Cricetulus griseus: one gene and its partners. The protein of the gene in region 1 purifies or fractionates together with the protein of each later gene. This does not show direct contact. Links are inferred from orthologs where the notes say so. Each region holds a gene or a part of one and is shown on either strand. Other genes may lie near its edges. The genes, in order: Tfdp1, L3mbtl2 and Max.

Region 1 (3,749 bases):
CTTCCCAGGCTCTCCAGCTTTAGTCCTAAGGTAGAGGTCTCCAATGTGGACTGTCTTCAGGCCTCAGGGTCTACCAGACCCCTCCTGGGATGAAGCCTACAGACTCTGAAATGACAGGAGCAAACACCCTTTCAGGATGCTTCCTGCCCTGAATCACTGACAACCCAAGTTCAGGCCATGTGGCTGTGGACGTCAATAGCTGAATAGTGGCAGGCTCTCTATGTCTCTGCAGTGTCCAATACGTGTGTGCATCCCAACAGTCTTCACTATGGCCTGTGTAAATGTACAAAACTCCTCTGCTGGGGGTGCACATACAGGTACGTTAAGGCACTCCTACAACTGACCTCTTTTTCCTCATGCGCACATAGCTGGCCCCTCTATTCGTACACACATACCTGTATTCTGTGCAGACATTAAACACAAATATACATAGTTGTATGTACAGGGGGTTTTCTGTATACATGTTCAGGCGTGCACGCCCGACTCATACTCTGCATATGCACGTGTATACAGCTATACTATCTGCATATACACAGGTGTGCCCACGTTACTCTTCTATGTGTACCTGCAGGTATGGCACACACCACAGATCTTTCTCCGTTGGCAGGTATCACACACACACACACACACACACACACACACACACACACACACAGACACACACACAGGCAAACACGTGGCCCTCTATTCCCTGCGCATGCACACAGATATGCATTCAGTTGGCCCTTGGTGTACACACAGAGGCGCGCACACACGTGGCCTCCATGCGCACATGCAGGCGCGCGCAGCACTTTTCAGTGCGGGCGGTCTCCAGCCGAGTCCCGCCGCACGCGCACGCGCGCACAGGCCCCTCCCCTATCCCAGGGCGGGTAGCACCGGCGAGAGGCGCGGGAGATGAGCGGCGGGAGGAGGAGGAGGAGGAGGAGGAGGAGGGCGCCGAAGGCGCGAAAAGGCGCGCAGGCGCGCTGCGCGGAGCGGGCCCGCCGCCGCCCACGTCACCGCGCCGCGCGCACGTCACGCCGGCCCGACGCTCGGCCCAGGGTGAGCCCGCGTCCGGCGCCGCTGGCTCAGGGCAGGGACCGCCAGGGCCGGACCTCCGGGCCGGCGCCCCCGCGCCCCCGTCGTCGCCCCGCGCGCCCCGCCGGCCAGCCAGGTGTGGCGGGGGCGCTGGCCGGCCGAGCGGGAGGGCGCGGGCTGGGCGCGCGGCCCCGTTCCCGCCCCAGCCCGGTTCCCGCGTCCGGCTGCATCCCGCCCGCCACCCAGCCTCAGCCCGGAGTCGGCCTCGACGCGGCGTGGCGTGGGCGGCGGGCAGGGGTCCTGGCCACCCTCCGGCTTTCTCCGCGCCAGCGCGCGGGGCTTGGTGGCCGGGCCTAGTGACAGGTGGGGCGGGCGGCGGGCCGGGAGCCCACCTGTCAGAGTGGTCGGCGGCTCCTTGGGGTCTTGGCAGCTCGAGGGCCTGCTGCGGCCCGGGGTTTGCCACGCAGTGTCGTGCCTAAGCTGGGGGCCTTGTGCCTCGGTGGGGCCTGTGGTCAGACGGGGCCCGCGCGCCCAGGTGGGGTGAGCCTGACGGCTGCGCCTTACTCTGCCAAGGGGTTGGGGTCTGGACCCTCTGCGAGTGGGAGCTGCTGGTGGCCGCAGGGAGCACTTCCATTTGGAGAGGTGACTTAAAATCCCCGTGTGGGACCTGCTTGGCTAGCTCTCCTGTCGGGATTGTGCAAGAAAGGCCCCTGCTGCCTGGAGGCCTGCCTCGTGCTGGTGGGGAGATGTTTCCTTTGAAATGCGATGTCTGTTAAACTTCTTTTTTCATTCTCTCTCATTAATTGTCTCCTTCCTTTTTGCCAGATAAGTCCGGTTTTTTCTGTGGCGGGTACGCAGTTACAGCCTTGATTTCCTGGATCTGGTAACATGGCAAAAGATGTAAGTATGATTGCTTCGTGCTGCAGACATGTTAGCTCACTGCTCCTTGCAGTTTTCTCTATGGCCGTGCGTGCATGGCCGTGGTTTATCCTCACATTTTACACGCAGGAGCTGGGATGGAGGTGAGGGATGGAGAGTCAGTAGGTGGGTGCCTCCCCCCTGCACAAGTGTTCTTTGTCATCTGAAGACTGACACGTTATTTGTGGTTGGATGATGTGGTCTTGATTTTTCCCTTAACCTATCTAGACAGTTTAAATTAAAAAAAAAATTGAATACACCTCTCAATTAAAATGAATGTGTGAGGGGGGTGTTGTGTGTTAGTGGGTTTCCACTCAGGACAGCTGTCAACATGGAACTTAGGCTGTACTTGTTTTATGTAGTACGCAGGACCGTAATTCAACTTTGATGGATTGAATATCAACAACTTGTTTGGGCACATTTTTCTCAGAAAGATGACATCTGGTGATTAATGAAACACGGTGGAAATGCTGGTTGGTTTAGCTTTATATTTATCTTGAAGCTACTGGATATTTTGAATAATTTTTTTTTTTGAAACAGATATGGAGAGTTAGGCTTTTAGGCTGCAAGATATAGTCTCTGTTGTTGGTTACATATATTTTTGCAATATCATCCTAACTCCTTCCAGCACTAATGATCTCCTTTTCAGTGTTCCTCAGCATTCACTGCCCTGTGAATGTTAGATTCCTGTATTTTCTGTGCAGCCTGGGAAATGCAGGCAGACGCGCTACATCATCTAGAGTTGTGCTCAGGTGTAGTGTGGCTGCGTCTATGGTGTGGGGCCAGGTACCGGTGGGTGCTGTGTCCTGTCCACTGACTTGAGGACTCAGCTATGCTTAATGATCCACATGGGTCAGACGGTGCCACTCTCCCTGTCATCAAGCACTTGGCTTGGGCCTGCTCTTTGGAGTTGTGTCACACCCTAGGAGATCTTGTATAGGTCACCTGAAGTCACAACCATATATGATACTGGCTTGATCTTGTTAGGTCCAGTTGTTTATCTACACCCATGTCCCCACTCTTCTCCATATGTATGCCCTAACATGTATGTGTGGGCTCAGCACATGCCCACAAAGTAACTAGATTTGGTAAATGGTTTGTAAATGGGATACTGGCCCCCATGCCTTTGTTAGGTCATGGTACTGGCACGATATTATTGCATTTTCAGTGAGCCAGCATGCTCAGAGTTTTGTCATTTTAGTTTTGCATCATTCACTCCCTTTCCATGTGCTGTGTCCCTGGGGAAAGGGGTGGTGCACTGTGAGGACAGGTGGTCAGGATCTCCCATCACAATGAGAGTCTGAGGCCAGCTGGTTTGGGGTTATCCATTGTGGTGTGGCTGGGCTGGTGCAGTGACTGAGTAACAGGGTGCTGGAGCTGACTCTCATCACCACACATATTCACACGCCACAAGCGTCTTCCCCAGTCAGAGGGGAATCAGAGACTGCAGACAGTCAAGGGTTGGGCCGTTCCTGTAGCCAACCATGTCTTTATATAGGATACGATACTTGTGTTTCAGAGAGGGACATTGTAGTCTGTGCTGAAGGAGAGGAAGTAGGCACCACTGAGTTTTCTAAGCACTTGATACTGGGGATGAAATCTAGCTGTAAAGTATAGCTGGACACCTGTGAGAGCAGAGGGGCTAAAGTCAAGCTCTGGGTCATGGAAGAGGACCAGGAAGGGTAGAGAGAAGACAACAAATAGCTAAGGGGCTTTCTGCCCCAGCAGATGCCCAGGCAGATGGGCAGGTGAGGGTTCCCTGTGAACTGCAGGCTGTGGCACAGGGCTGGCAGTTACCAGTGAACAGGATGGGA
Region 2 (3,649 bases), on another chromosome or scaffold:
AGCAGGGGAGCTTCCCACCTCACCTCTGCCTTTGCTCAACCCTGGGAATACCCGCTCCTTGGATGGAAGTGGTTCCGAGCCAGGTGCCTTCACAGTGTCCTTAGATGGAGAGTAGTCAGGAGTCTGTGGAGGAATCGGGCATGGATGGACATAGGCAATGTGGGCAGAGCCATATAGATGTGTGAGGGACTGTCTTGTAAGGGACTGTCTTCGAAGGCCATTTCCTCTCCTGCGGTCTAGTTTCACAGTATAATTCTCTGATACCTCGTGTCTGTTCAGCACATCTAGATGCCATTACCTTAGTGAGAGTAACCTGGTAGTCCCTAAGTGTGTTGTGAAGACCATGAGACACTCAACGATGTGAGTGCATTAAGCTTATGGGCTGCAAGCTGGAAAGTTGTAGGGATAGTGACCTTCATGTCAGAGGGCAGGTATGGAGGTGGGCAAAAGGTAGTGGCCTAGGATCTTCTGGAAGCCAGTTGACTTGGAAGAGGTGGTTCTTGGATGACTGACAGACCCTGTGTAAGGGCTTCTAGAGTGTGAACAGTATGTCCTTGAAAAGAGGCAGGCTCCAAACTGTGGACAGCACCTCTCCCTCCTTCATACTTGTACTCTTTGGCAGTAGGGTCAGATTTCCTTCCAATCAGCTTGGCTTCTCCTTCCCCCATTTTCCCCATCTTTTTCCCTGCTGTCTTCTAGCCCTTCTCAAAATCTGAGAACTTGAATACTAACAGGGATCACTAGGGAGAACAGCTAGTCTAGGGGCTGGTTCGTGACCCTGGCTGCAGATTTGTCATCTGGGAAGCTGGGAAAGCACTTTAGATGCTGTATCACTGGAGCCCAGGCCACAGCACTGTTGAGTGACCTAATATGGTCAGACAGACACAGCTTGTCCACTTACTCCCTGTGAGAGCAAGGAATTGCAAATGTTAAGTGATTTCAGCACCTTTTCTCTTATCAATTTCCTCTTTCTAAAACTTGTTGATCAGTTTCTGTTCATGTGGATTTCCAGCCCCTTAGCACTGGATTTTGATACAGAGCCAAAGGAAACCACATATCATCTTAAGAGGTTAGATGGAGCTGCACACACTTGTAGTCCCAGCTGCTAGAGATGCCGATGGAAGAGGGTCTATTGAACCTACAAATTTGAGGGTAGTGAGACTTGCTCTTGGAAGAGAACTCCACACACTGTCCACCACCTCCTCCTCTCACTCTATCAGCCTTAAAGCCTAACACTCACATGGTTGAGGAGCCTGTGGTTTTGTTCGACTTAAAGTGATTATGTCAAGGTCTCTTTCCAGCTGTCTGTGAGATGTGTGGTATCGTGGGCACAAGGGATGCTTTCTTCTCAAAGACCAAGAGGTTTTGCAGCGTCTCGTGTTCCAGGAGCTACTCCTCCAACTCCAAGAAAGCCAGTATCTTGGCTAGACTACAGGTGAGAGCAGCCACTCACACACTTCTCGAGGTCCCAGATGCTGAGCTGGGCCATGACATGATTGGAAGCAGACAGTTTAGTTAGTTTGGGGAGCTCATTGATAGTGGTCATCTGCGGTACATGAGAACTTGCCTCAAAAAGTTCCACCCACTCCTTCCTCCCCCCCCCCCAACCAAAAGAGGCTGTCAGGTGCCCTGGGACCTGGAGGCAGTTGTGAGCCACTGTGTAGGTGCTAGAAACAACCTGGATCCTCTGGAAGAACAGCCAGTAGTCTTAGCCAGTGAGCCATCTTACCAGACCCCTATTTAATTTAATTATTTGTTTTTGTTTTTGTTTGTTTGTTTGTTTGTTTGTTTGTTTTTGAGACAGGGTTTCTTTGTGTAACAGCCCTAGCTGCCTTGCAACTGTTTTTTTAGACCAGACTGGCCTTGAACTTCCAGAGATCTGCCTGACTCTGCCTCCTAAGTGCTGGCATTAAAGGCATGCACCACCACTGCCCGGCCCCTTATTTTATTTTGAGACAGGGTCACACTGTGTAGCTCTGACCTAAAACTCACTATGTAGACCAGGCTGGTCTCAGATTCACAACTTTCTCCCCTACATCCCTATTGCTGGGATTAAAGGTATGCCTACTACGTCCAGCAGTTCACATATTTTTTTTGTTTTTGTTTTTGTTTTGGTTTTGGTTTTTGGTTTGTTGAGAAAGGGTTTCTCTGTATTGCTTAGGAGCCTGTCCTGGAACTCACTCTGTAGACTCACTCTTAGACCACTCTTGAACTCACAGAGATCCGACTACCTCTGCCTCCCGAGTGCTGGGATTAAAGGCTTGCGCCACCAACACCCAACTAGCAATTCCTATTTTGAAAGGCTCAAAAATTTATGGGGCTGGAGAGATGGCTCAGACGTTAAGAACACTGGCTGCTCTTCTAGAGGTCCTGAGTTCAATTCCCAGCATCCACATGGTGGCTCACAACCATCTATAATGAGATCTGGTAACCTCTTCTGGCTTGCAGGCTGACATACCGGCAGAACACTATATACATAATAAATAAATCTTTAAAAAAAAAAATTTATGGTGACTTTAAGGTAATGGTTCTCAACACTCCTAATGTTGCAACCCTTTAATACAGTTCTTCCTGGGGTTCTCTCCCCTCCCCCCATTTCATTTTGTTTTATTTTTTGAGACAGAGTTTCTCTGTGTAGTGCTGTCATTGAACTAACTCTGTAGACTAGCCTTGCCTTGAACTCAGAGATCCGCCCACCTCTGCCTCCTGATTGCTGGGATTAAAGTCATGCACCACCAAGGCCTGGCCAATATCTCATGTTGTGGGGACCCCAACCATAAAATTATTTTGTTGCTACTTCATAACTAATTTTGCTACTGTTATAAATCATAATGTAGCCGGGCATTGGTGGCGCATGCCTTTAATCCCAGCACTCGGGAGGCAGAGGCAGGCGGATCTCTGTGAGTTCAAGGCTAGGCTGGTCTCCAGAGCGAGTGCCAGGATAGGTTCCAAAGCTACACAGAGAAACCCTGTCTCGAAAAAAAAAAAATCATAATGTAAATGACTGATATTCAGGATATCTGATATTTGACCCCTGTGAAAAAGTTGTTTGACACGCCCCCTCCCAAGGGGTTGAGAACCACTGCTTTAGGGACAGACCTCAGTGCAGGTGTACTCTGCTTATCTGGTATATTGGGTGGACTCCTGGCCTTTGTATTGTTGCTTAATTAATTATCTTGTATGAGTGAGCTTTCCCTGAGCCCTGATGAAAGCTCTCAATAATGTTCTGGAGGATGTTTGCAAATGTACAAAATGTTGGTGGGTTTGGAGAGTTTCTGGCTGCTCTGCAGCCCCTCAGTTGTAGCTCTCCAGGGAGCTGGGAACATGGAGAGGACTGCAGGAAAATGTTAGGGAGAGGCTTCTTGAGAAGTCAAAGGTCTGAATGATGCATGCATGTCTCTCCCTCATCTGCAGCACCACTGACCCCATCCTTCTGGAACCATCTCCTGAGTGTTCTCTCTCATAATCAGTATTTTTATTTATTTTATTTTAGTGTGTGTGTGTGTGTGTGTGTGTGTGTGTGTGTGTGTGTGTGTGTGTGTGTGTGTGTATTTTGAGACCAGGTTTCTCTGTGGCTGTCCTGGGACTCTTTCTGTAGACCAGGCTGGCCTTGAACTCACAGAGATCTGCCTGCTTCTGTTGGGATTAA
Region 3 (3,649 bases), on another chromosome or scaffold:
TCCAAGGAGTGACCTAACCCATAGGCTTTTGCTCAAAGCTTTTGTTTTTTGAAGACAGAAACAGCTGGCTCCTGCCTCTCCAGGGAAAAGAGCAGTTTCTAAAGGCCTCTAGGGAGAATGGGAATGGTTTCCTTTTACTTCTCTTTCATATGAACAAGTCTCTTAACTCTTGTTCCATGGGTTACAATGCTTTTTACACATCTTGGGAAGAGTGGCTGTCAGGGTTGGAAATCACTGGTGCCCAGGCAGGTTCACAGCCCTGCCTGCAAGTGTTCATTTACACTAAGTACTAATGCTGAACTGAACAAGACCGATTCCCACAGAGGTTTAGGGGATCACTGGCCCGGAAATCTTTAGTGATCACAAACTAATTATGGACCAAGTTATACACTACAGTACATAGGTATATAGTTATGATAATGTCATGAATGACTAATTTATCTGCCTAGCATGACAAGGTCCTGGGTTCAATCCCCAGCACCACCAAAGAAACAAGTAATTAATGACACGTATCTCCAATTTTGCAAGGCCACTTTTTAGGGATGTCTCACAAACACCTCTATTACAAATGATGTTGTTTTTGCTAAAGATAATCAAGAACAACTGAGATATGTGAGAATCTTCCAGAGAATCAAAAACATAAAATGAAATAAATAATAAAAACAGGAGACCGTGCCACCTGATTGCCTTTCTTCACAGAAGGGAGGGCTGTCCTGTTCCAAGCTACTGGTGGGCCAACTGATTTGTCAATAAACTCACCTTTTCTCCTTGGAGTGACGGGACCGAGTCCCGCAAACTGTGAAAGCTGTCTTTGATGTGGTCCCTGCGTTTTCGTTCCAGTGCATTATGATGAGCCCGTTTGTCAGCCTAGGAGAAATGAAGACAGAGCATGTTAGGAATGCCACTCCTTGTCCAGGTGGATGTGGTAAAGCCTGGAAGTGTGTGCAGTCAGCGCTGTCCCTGGCAAGTGGACTGAGAAAATTTGCAGAGTGAGATGGACAGTTAGGAGTCTCCAGAATTAGGCTCTGTTAAAGAGGGAGAAAGGGGTGAGTAAGGCTTGCAACAGGAACATCCAAAGTAGCACGGTGGATCCAGCTCATGCACAAGTAAAACCGAAGTTATTCAAGGAGACAAAGTGTGACTCTCCTGCAAGTGTCCCCAACCTACGTGATGGAGCAGTTGCCAGTCTGTGGTTGCAATGTAACTAAAGAAAGCTCCAGTGGGCTCCTTCCTAAGATATGGTTACTCTACCATGAGACTGGGGGGCGGGGGTGTACTTCTGTCCACTTGAAACCTACCATCCAAGGCTCTGCTACAGGTCACCAACATACCCTCTCATCAGGTCATACAAGAGAGCTCCAAACCTCTGGAAAGCCCAGTTGCATTTGAGGTTATTATGACATAGCTGACAGATGTGCCAACTGCACTTGGGTTTCCTCTCACAAGGCTGAGCCAGAGAGGCACTTTTTGGGTAGCAGACCTTCTGACACATACATGCTCTTGGTAAATTTCCTCATGCACATGCAGCAGGTCTGGCCCATTTGGCACTTTTCTAAATACCCTAAGCAGCCTTTAACCTTTCCTGCTTGGAATTATAAACAGTCTGCTGGTGAGGCTCAGGACTGCCAAACAATCAGGAAGGGGAAGGCAGCAGAGCACCATGCTGGGGAGCACTGCCAAGGAGCTTCATCTCCCTCTACACAGAACACAAGGACTACTTGAGCAAGAACTTCACCACACCTCTACTTCAGGAATTACAGAAATACTCTTGAGCATTTCCCCAGACTAGAGCAGGCTGTGCTGAGCTAGCCTAAAGAGCCTGTCTGCACATTAGAAAGTGACCTGGCTAGTAAGCCCAGACAGAGTACCAGGAATTTTGGAAATGCAACAACAAGCATAAACTTGGTTTGACAATGCCATTTCCACTGAATCCTTGTACTAGAAAAGATGGGCAGACAGAAATCAGACAAGAGCAATGAGAAGAAAAGGATTAAAAATTCTTCTACTATCAAATTCTAAAACCTAAAAGTCTCTGACTCCCCCCAGGGGAAGAGCCTGGAGACCCTGTAGACTGTTTCCCTTCTGATTTCTCAGAAGCCTCACCTACAGTTCTGTTAAATGGGCACACGTTCCCATCACAGTCACCATCTTGAAGATGGGGCACAAGCTGGGAGGATTCCTAAATTATCCTGTCTTAAACCTCAGTTCACTGTAAAGCAAAGGATTTTCTTAACTAGTCATATAGAAAATAGAATGAGGAATCCGAAAGGACAATTAAGCTTGGAAAACCAGGTAACTTGAGGGTAGAGGTGTTATCACTGTATTATAAAATACTAGGGCAAGCAAGATAACCACAGCTGCCCTCTCAGAGCAGTGTAAATTAAGTTAGCTTGAAGGAACTACATGTCAATGCCCAGGTAAACCCGCCTGTCACAATACTCGAGGACAGAAGAGATCTAGGACAACATTTGGCATGCACTAGGCCTCTGGTGTTTACTCTGTAATTTTCAAGATGGTCTATTTACATGCAAACCAATTGCTCAGCTTTGGTCTTCAGCAGCAGCCTAAGATACTCTGTCTACTAAATCACCCTGACTCCTGGCCCTCCTCCCAGCTTAAGAGCTGTGCACAGAAGCAGTGATACCAGCTACCCACAATGCCTCTTGCTGATACAAATAAAAATCCTAATTGTCTGTTTTCTTTCTGGGAGAACCCTGAAAATCTCAGGCAGTTAGAACTAAGATGGACTTGGTTTTCTGAGGGCCTGTGCTGTAAGCAAGGAGCTAAGTTGAACCTAACACCGCTGTCATCCCCAAGATGTACCACCCCTCCCATCTGCTGAGCACTGAAAGGACTCAGACGGACAACAGTCTTTTGGTTGGAGGACTGTAGTGAACTTGGCCATAGACCACGAGCAGAAATCTCGGCTTCTCATCTGGGGAGTCAGCCAAGTTAGAAGTTGGCTCAGCTAGGAAAGGCAGCAGGCCACTGCCTGGTAGAAAGCCTGGGCTGGGGACTGTTGTTCTCCAAGCAGTGGATGGAATTTCTGTGGTGGTTCCAGACCCAATTTAACTAGCAGAACGGTGGAATCTTAGAGCAATCCCTCCTGCATGTCTATCCCTCAGCTGTTATGCCTGAACAGAGACAGCCACAAGGATCTATTTGTTTTTCCTTGTCCCCAAGCCTCATTTGCAAGCACACGTGAAAAACATGCGGAACTCACATGCCTAATTCCAGGCAACTCTGAATGAAGTGGCATTTCTAGTGCTTACAGAGCATAGGAAAACTTGACACACCTTCACACAAGGCTGAGAGTTCTCTCTGGAAAGTATTTCTAAGCTGCATGCGAGGATGGTACCCCCAGCCCTGCATGCTGGGCCAGTGGCTGACTAAAAGATTGCCTTGTTAGCCAAGTTCTCTTGTTGACAAGCTCATTCCCAAAAGGCCAAGATTTCAGAGTTGAGAAAGAAAAACCAGGTGAAGACTCTCAGCGTAAGGTGCTAGAGATCCTCCCGTGAACTCTTTACAGCAGTGCAGCAATTACAGTAGTGGAACAAACAACTCAGATGAGTGTTAGTGCGCTCTCTCTCTCTCTCTCTCTCTCTCTCTCTCTCTTCTCTCCTCCCTCCCTCCCTCCCTCCCTCCCTCC

The links.
Region 2: the proteins of Tfdp1 (region 1) and L3mbtl2 purify together in Homo sapiens (affinity purification with mass spectrometry; 4 studies listed by BioGRID and IntAct, counting the BioPlex papers as one, with this or other methods). This does not show direct contact. The link is inferred for Cricetulus griseus from reciprocal best matches to the Homo sapiens genes TFDP1 and L3MBTL2.
Region 3: the proteins of Tfdp1 (region 1) and Max purify together in Homo sapiens (affinity purification with mass spectrometry; 5 studies listed by BioGRID and IntAct, with this or other methods). This does not show direct contact. The link is inferred for Cricetulus griseus from reciprocal best matches to the Homo sapiens genes TFDP1 and MAX.

Annotation. Positions count from the first base shown.
Region 1 is NW_023276807.1:67,450,093-67,453,841, reverse strand, and holds the start of Tfdp1 (transcription factor Dp-1), read left to right. Parts: upstream 1-1,025; 5' UTR 1,026-1,153; intron 1,154-1,842; 5' UTR 1,843-1,905; coding exon 1,906-1,917; intron 1,918-3,749. UniProt on the Homo sapiens protein: Can stimulate E2F-dependent transcription.
Region 2 is NC_048595.1:378,810,783-378,814,431, forward strand, and holds part of L3mbtl2 (lethal(3)malignant brain tumor-like protein 2), read left to right. Parts: coding exon 1-83; intron 84-1,301; coding exon 1,302-1,435; intron 1,436-3,649. UniProt on the Homo sapiens protein: Putative Polycomb group (PcG) protein. PcG proteins maintain the transcriptionally repressive state of genes, probably via a modification of chromatin, rendering it heritably changed in its expressibility.
Region 3 is NC_048598.1:126,569,209-126,572,857, reverse strand, and holds part of Max (protein max), read right to left. Parts: intron 868-3,649; coding exon 760-867; intron 1-759. UniProt on the Homo sapiens protein: Transcription regulator. Forms a sequence-specific DNA-binding protein complex with MYC or MAD which recognizes the core sequence 5'-CAC[GA]TG-3'. The MYC:MAX complex is a transcriptional activator, whereas the MAD:MAX complex is a repressor.